Arabidopsis thaliana: one gene and its partner. The protein of the gene in region 2 interacts with the protein of the main gene of each other region in a biochemical or structural test. Each region holds a gene or a part of one and is shown on either strand. Other genes may lie near its edges.

What was found.
Region 1: of the proteins of ACS5 (region 2) and CK1, one has a biochemical effect on the other in vitro, tested with the Arabidopsis thaliana proteins (one study listed by BioGRID).

What each region holds. Positions count from the first base shown.
Region 1 is NC_003075.7:13,228,874-13,232,806, forward strand, and holds the start of CK1 (casein kinase 1), read right to left. Parts: upstream 1,925-3,933; 5' UTR 1,636-1,924; coding exon 1,560-1,635; intron 1,466-1,559; coding exon 1,425-1,465; intron 1,277-1,424; coding exon 1,207-1,276; intron 1,115-1,206; coding exon 966-1,114; intron 875-965; coding exon 779-874; intron 687-778; coding exon 616-686; intron 510-615; coding exon 448-509; intron 329-447; coding exon 265-328; intron 176-264; coding exon 91-175; intron 3-90; coding exon 1-2. Other genes in the region: NAP1;1 (nucleosome assembly protein1;1), read left to right, coding at 3,839-3,884. UniProt on the Arabidopsis thaliana protein: Casein kinases are operationally defined by their preferential utilization of acidic proteins such as caseins as substrates. It can phosphorylate a large number of proteins.
Region 2 is NC_003076.8:26,330,946-26,334,878, forward strand, and holds the start of ACS5 (ACC synthase 5), read right to left. Parts: upstream 1,868-3,933; 5' UTR 1,754-1,867; coding exon 1,475-1,753; intron 1,371-1,474; coding exon 1,210-1,370; intron 1,124-1,209; coding exon 151-1,123; 3' UTR 1-150. UniProt on the Arabidopsis thaliana protein: 1-aminocyclopropane-1-carboxylate synthase (ACS) enzymes catalyze the conversion of S-adenosyl-L-methionine (SAM) into 1-aminocyclopropane-1-carboxylate (ACC), a direct precursor of ethylene.

The DNA of each region.
Region 1 (3,933 bases), on a different chromosome or scaffold from region 2:
GCCTGCAGGTGTAAGGCGATCATATACGAATCAGAATGAGGGAAACAAAAATCTGAGTAAAAATGTAGCATACTTGTGAAATGAACTTACCTCAATGGATGTAGAAACTTTCTTTTCACTAATCCTTTCATACTTTTGCTTTTTGGTTCCAGCTTTCAGTCCTTGCCATGGAAGACTAAAACAGAGATATTCCACACATCAATCAAACTGAAGAAGTTAGGGAAATAAAGTGAAGAGAGTGTGAGGCATGTAGCATAAACTCACCTTCCTTTGAGGAAATACATAAGGATGTAACCAAGAGACTCAAGATCATCCCTTCGACTTTGTTCTTCAGGTTCGCAATGCCAGAAAACAAATAACAGCTGATGAGTATCAAACCTTATAACTCAAACACATAAGGAGAGTGACTGGAACAAATTAACATGAAGCAGGTCTTGTCGAGCTTACCAATTCCCAAGTGAGTGTTCATACTAGCATATCTCGCAGTTCCTGTCAGGTTTTTATTTTCCCTGCAAATGAGAATCATGGGAAAAATTAGCGTTTCCAGTCATCACATAACAACGGAATCATGCTCAAGGGAAGAACATTCAAGAGCTGATACAATGATCGCCTCACCTGTAGGGAATGTGCTGATGTGTTGTACTATCCCTATACTTCTTAGCAAGACCAAAGTCAATGATGTATACCTTAGAGAAGGATTAAACTTGGTCAATACAATGATGTCTCCAAAAGTAAAATAAGACCAAAAGGATATAGTTAAGACAATAAGATGATAAACCTGGTTCGCACGCCTTCCAAGGCCCATGAGGAAGTTGTCTGGCTTAAGATCTCGGTGAAGGAAAGACTTTGAATGAAAAAACTCAACACGGTTGATCTTATCACAAAAACCAAAGGAAGAAAGAAGTCAATATTTCCTGAAACATAGAGGAGCAAATGAAAGAAAGGCGTCACATGAAGAAGTATACCATTTGATCAGCAAGCATGAGGACAGACTTCAATGAAAGTTTCCTGCTACAAAAATTGAAGAGATCTTCAAGACTTGGTCCGAGTAGATCCATCACCAAAACATTATAGTCCCCTTCAACACCAAACCATTTGACATTTGGAACACCAGCTACCAAAGTTAAGGCAAAAGAAAGGTCATAAGTAACACAAACTTTACATTATCAGAAATCAATATCTCATTCAGAAGATAAGAATCATTACTTCCCCCTTGTAGAATCCTGTATAACTTCGATTCATAGAGCAGCTGTGGATGTTTTGTCTTCACATTTTCCTGGGAAAACAAAAACAAAGAGAATCAAAATCTCAGCTTTTCAACATACTGAACTTGATCAAACTAAACATATTGTGATAATGTTACTTATAAATCCATAAACTTTTTGATCATCAAATTATTAAAATGGGATGACTGAAGAACTCACAAGCTTAATAGCCAGTTCTTCATTCGTATGAATATTAGTACCTGGAAAATCACAGGTTAACAACAATGTTAGAGATAATGTGACGAATTCGATAATCCATAAAATTAAAAACTAGAAAGTGAGAGAGAGACGAACCGAGATAGATCTCTCCAAACGAACCACTACCGATCTTTCGGCCGAGACGAAACTTGTTCCCCACACGAGGTTCCATAAATAACCACGAAACCCCTTGTACAATCTTAACAACCCAGACGCAGATTCAAATAGAGCGAAAGGGACCCCAAAAACAATCCTGACTAGAATCAGCCGCACCAGCAATCCAGAAAAACAACCCAGAGATCACGAACAATGAGATTACGGATTTTTCGCCGACTAAATCAAAACCCAGTAATCATCTTCTTCGTGCTCTCGATCTGGTGAAAAAACTCCATATGAACAGAATGTCGTTTTCTGGGATGCTTCTCTCTCTCTCTCTCCTCTCAAGAATTGAATACGAAGATAAAAAAAAAAAAAAAAAAAAAGAGCTTCGATGGACAGAAAACGATGAGGATGTCTTTCTCAAAGTTTGCGTCTTTTTTTTTTTCCTCTTTCCTTGCAGTTGCGGGTAATGTAAAAAAATTATTTACCTCTGAATGATTCCGGTTTTGTTGCTGTGTGCTATGTTCGGTTTGGTTTCTATGCTTCGGTTCAACCAAACAATCTAATGATTATGGCAAGCAGAATAGTAAAATAGAAAAAATGTGTAAAACATCTATAGAACACATATGTATATACATGCTGAGCATCTTTAAATCCACAAAAATACTACTATTTGAGCCGAATCTACCAACTAAACTAAACCTGGTTTTAAAATTATCCGGTTTATTTGAGAGTTTCAACAACAAGCGCGCTTAGACCATCATTATTCATAGTTTATAAGGTTAGTTCTTAGATAAAGTAGGTCTTAAATTTAATGTTATAATTCAATTAATTGTTAAAAATGACTCTTATATAAGAGCCAAATCTAATGTTTCTTAGGTTAATTCTTAGATAAATTAGGTATTAAATATAATGTTTTAATTCAATTAATCTTAATTCTTAGATAAATTAAGTATTAAATCTAATTGTTTGTCATATTTGTTTAAAATTTTATGTTATGTATGTTTCAAATTTTTTGAGTTGTAATAATTATTAAGTTTTTTAAAATTATAATGTTTCTACTTTTTTTCCAATTTTTTTTTTAAGAACTCAAGTTAAGAGTCCACCATTGCATATTGCCAAAATTTCAATCTCTTAACTAAATTCTTAACTTCAAAATTTTCAAAATCAATTATAAAAATATTCATAAGAACTATTAAGATTATGCTAAGAAACTACTATTAATGATACTCTTATGATGGCTATATGATATAAAAAGATTGACCACTTACCAGGTGTGTTTGCTACGCGTGACTTGAAAGCTCTACAAAATGTTTCTCTTAAGTGGGAGTCGTGGAGGTACAAAAAGCTTTTCACCTTTGCTTTTAATAGGATGAATGAAATGATTTACAGTTATCTGATTAGGTTGAATTTGTCTCATGGTTTTCTGGTTAAAAAAAAATGCTACGCGTGAGGCTTCTTTATTGTGTTTCTGGTCAGACGTATAAAAGGTTGAAACTTCAAATTGAAAATGTCGTGATGAGCTAATCTAGATTAGAGTACGTTTAATTCGTTTGAACTCGGGATGAGCTTAAACCAAACTAAAGATCTTTGTGCCTTTTGGGATATGACTTTTTGTTGTGGACTGTTTTTTTGTTTTTGTTGTGGACTGTTTTTTGTTTTTAATTAGTATGTACAGTGTATGTGAACAAAAGAAGTAATCAGTGTATTGGGCTTGGAAGGCTCATTCTTGGGATGGGCCTTAGTACTAACAGATTCAGAAATCTTCTATTTGATCCCATTAAAGTTCACTAACCTGTACTGTATTTGGTGAAGAATCAAATATATATAAGTGTATATATATATATATAAGTATATAGATAATTAATATAATTACATGCAAAATTTTAATTATATAGATAATTAAAGTTTATATATTAGTTATATATATTTATAATTGATTGAATTCATAAATAAACTTTAATTATCTATATATAAGTCAGTTCTCATTATCCATATATATATGTATGTAAAGTTTTGCATGTTATTTAATTCAATAAACTTAATTTTGCTTTTTAAAACATTAAACATCAATTTTTAGAGAAAGAAAAGTATATATAAAAAGAGAAAAAACTAAAATGGCATTTGTTATAATTTTGGTGTGAAAAGGAGGGAGAGAAAAAAACAAAAAAACAAAGAGGATTTAAGGGTTACGAGTCGCCTCCCCAAAACCCTTGTCCCTAGTCTCTTCTGCTTCTTCTTCTTCAAAATCTCTCTCTTCACCAAATCCTCAGAAGATGAGCAACGACAAGGATAGCTTCAACGTCTCCGATCTTACTGCTGGTAAAATACTCCTACTCACGATTACTCTTATCTCTTTCTCCGCCTCTTA
Region 2 (3,933 bases):
AAATATTACATATATAATGATATGATTATAGATATCTTGGAAAATTAAAAATACTTTCCCAAAATATAAAAAATGAAGGAAATAAAGAAGAAGAAAAAACCGTGAAGTTTTCTTTTGTTCGTCGTCTCAAACTTAGGGAGATGAATAATTTCATCGTTCATCAGGTACACGATCGGTCCATGAAACCCGGAAAACCCAGTTAGAGACTGTCTTCTTCCTCAAACTCTTGAGCCTTTCATGGCTGCTTCTTGATATCATTCGTCCACAGTCTGTGGATTCTACGAAAGTTTTGAGCCTCTTCAAGGCCAAATCGAGTGTGTCCTCGCTCATATTAGCGAAACAAACCCTAAACCAACCCGGTTCGGTGCAGTGACATGAAGAACCGGGTGATATGTTTAGTTTCACGTTGTAAACAATCTTTTTCCAGAGGTCAAGCTCTGCTTCAAATGTGTTTGTGTCCAAAAGGTGTCTCATGTCGACCCAACAGAACAAACCCGCGTTGCTTCTCAGGCAAGTAATCCCTGCAGACTCAAGACCAGACACGAGGCGTCTCTGTCTGGACTTGAGTCGTTTCTGGTTCTCTTCGAGGTATTGGCTAGTGAACTTCTTGTCGGAGAGCAATGCAGAGAGAAGGTATTGTGTCTGAGAAGAAACAAGACCAAAACTTGACATTTTTGTAGCTGCTGAAACGATCATTTCGTCGTTGGAGTAGATCGCTCCCACACGGAAACCAGGAAGTCCCAGATCTTTAGAAAGGCTATAAACGACGTGGACTCGTTTTGAAACCTCCGTGTCTTCGAGTTTCTTGTCTTTCAAGACATCCATTACGCTTATGAACTGTTCAAACCCGAACATAGTGCCTGAATAGATCTCGTCGCTAATGAGATGAATGTTCTTGGAAGTGATGAAGTCAACGAGAAGGTTAAGTTCACGTCTGGTCAACGCAGTGCCAAGTGGGTTAGATGGATTCGTGACAAGAACTCCTTTGACTTTGAGATCAAGTTTCTGGGCTTGTTGGTAAGCTTGTTGCAGAGCTGATTCCGTGATTTGGAAGCCATTAGAGCTTGAGCAGTGAATGGGTACTATCTCTGCTCCGGTTCTCCATTTAAGATCTCTATCAAATCTGTAATCATAAAAAAGCCTAGACGTAAGCATATATTTCTATTGGGTTTACTTGGAATCCAAGTAAAGAGGAGAAGTGTAATTTACCCAGGATAGTAAGGAGTAGGCAAAAGGAAAGCATCGCCAGGCTCTGCAAGGCAAAACATGAGAGTCTCATTCGCAGATGTCGAACCAGCCGCTAAAACAATCTTTTTTGGATCGAACGTGACACGGTTTCCTCTTATCTCTTCCATAAACTCAGCCATAGCCTGTAAAAAATGACAGAAAATGTTCATGAGAAATGGATTCATTACTTGTGATACACGTCAGGTTACTCTCTTTATTGAATTTGAGAAAAATGAAAGAAGCTTACTTTTTTGAATTCAGGCATGCCATGATAGTCTTGAAATAGAGCAAGCTCTCTGAAAATGGATTGACCGTTCCTCTTGAGACTTGCCGCGTCTGGGTTCTTAGTTAACCATGACTCGATTAGATCGAAACATAGCTGGTTTTCGGCTAGACCCATCTGGATCATCCCATTAGGGTTCTTGATCTCATCATAAGGATTCTTCTCGTACTCTTCCCATCCCAAGAAGTAGGATGAGTCTTGTCCATGACCATTGCTTGTCACTTTTGTCGAAAGCTGTTTCATTCTCTGTTTTTAAAGTCAAGAGATTTTGGTCGTAGAGAAGACTAATGTGGGTGAAGGAGAGAACGAAAAGAAGAGATCTTGAATTAGGGTTTAAGTTGGTGAAGAGTGAGATGTGGTTGGAGAAGCAATGGGTCTGTTGGGATATATATATATATAGATAATAATAATCTAACGACATTTAATTTCAAAAATAAAATGTGACAACAGAATCAGAAACTAGAGAGACTTTTTTGACCGTCCAGACATTACCATAGTTTTTAGTAAATATTCTCCAAGACATGTGAGACAACTTCTTTTATTATTTAATGCGATCTCCAATAATTAACAAGCTATATTATTTAATACAAAATAAACAATTAAAACATTGCAGTAGTTCTTGTTTCTTTTTGAAAATAAGAATGATCTATTATTGAGTTTCTATTTATTATTGCATTCACACATACAGCAATAAATCTTAGGATTATGTTTAAATAAAAATAAAAAAACCAGCTCTACATAGGGACAAAATTAAATAACACATTTTGAGCTTCTTTCCAAAATTTATTTGATCGTTTTCTAGGATTCAAGCATATTTAATAATAATTCTACAAATTAATAGTACTAAAATGATTAGTCTTTACGCGTTTCCGTCACCGCCGGACCGTCCTTATTATGACCATCATTTAGGGACCAAACATAGCAATTTAAAAAGAAACCTCAAATGTAATTAACTTTTTGTTGTTGTTGTATAAACTGAATCACTATGCTTATGATTAGTTTAGTCGTCCATTCACGATGTCAGCTACAAAATTGGCTGTGTGAAGTTGGATAGAAAAAAGAACCAACATTAATTTATATTCTACTTCTTGTCCAATACTAATGCCAAATAATTACTATTTATAGACTGCTAAAATTTTATATGTCGTATAATGTGAGTATTTTGCTGAAAAAAACTGTGAGCATTTTATGTAACTTTAGTTATCAGATTCTGTAATTAAGTGTCAACACGTTGACTTAGAAAATATTAACAAAATAAAATAGGGTGGTAAACGTAAAATTGGAAAACAAGGAAATGACATACAAGAAAAATGAACAGAGACAAGTGGAGCTAGGGGAGTCAAATGTAATGTCATACCGACATCAAATCGTCTAAAGTAATCCTGTATACCTATGCATCTACGTATGTATACATTTATACGGCTAAAATACATTTATTTATACGGTAGAGGGTAAGTCAAATAGGACCATTTATGCTCCCTAAACTCTAGTAGTCCCAAATGTCTTGGTCCGCAATTTTTTTTCGTTTTCTCTTCCTCTATCATTGACAACAACTTATTTATTTGGTGGGATCGGATACATACAAATATGTTTTTTACTGACTAGGATGTTTTCAGTCTTGTAATTATCGACAGGTTAACCGGAGTTGTAATTAGTTTTTTTTTTTTTTTGGTTAAAGGGTTTTGGAGTTAGTTTCATGTGAATTATGCGGTATTCACTGACGTAGACTGATCTCCAATACCAATAGAATAAATGATGATAGTTTAGCATAATTGTGTTGGTCCGCAGTTTATGTAAAAATAAATGTTGAGTCAGATATTGTTGCAGATATATTGATATAGTTACTTTGATCATGGGTGAAATAATGAGTTTGGATGGTTATCATAATAAAAACATAAACACAAATTTTTTGTAGAATACAATTTTCCTACTAGTTGAATTGAGCTTTAGTTGTATATATCTTCATCCTGTTTTTTTTTTTAAAATGTATACAAATCAAAGAAATAAACATATTGTTTATTATATAAACTCGAAACTTTATTTAAAATAAGCTACTAGTAGAATGCACAAATATTTCTTGAAACATGAGATTTTCAAAATAAAAATCATAAAAATGATGTGCAATGAGTGATTCAGTTTTGGACCTAGAATGATTAGTATAAGAGCATAATATTTAATCAATCAAATTGAGTTATATTAACATAAAAATCAGGTGGACGATATCAAAACCCATGTTGGTGGCCGTTGGTTATAACTTATACCCCCAGATTTGTAGGCGACGTTGTTCGTTTAAGTTTGACTCCAACTATTAACTAACTTAACTGGAATATTCTTTGGTAGATGTAACATATTATTGTCTCTTAACTAACCAAAAAAAAACATTAATGTTTGTTATAGGATTTTTTCTGACGTCAGGAAATCGT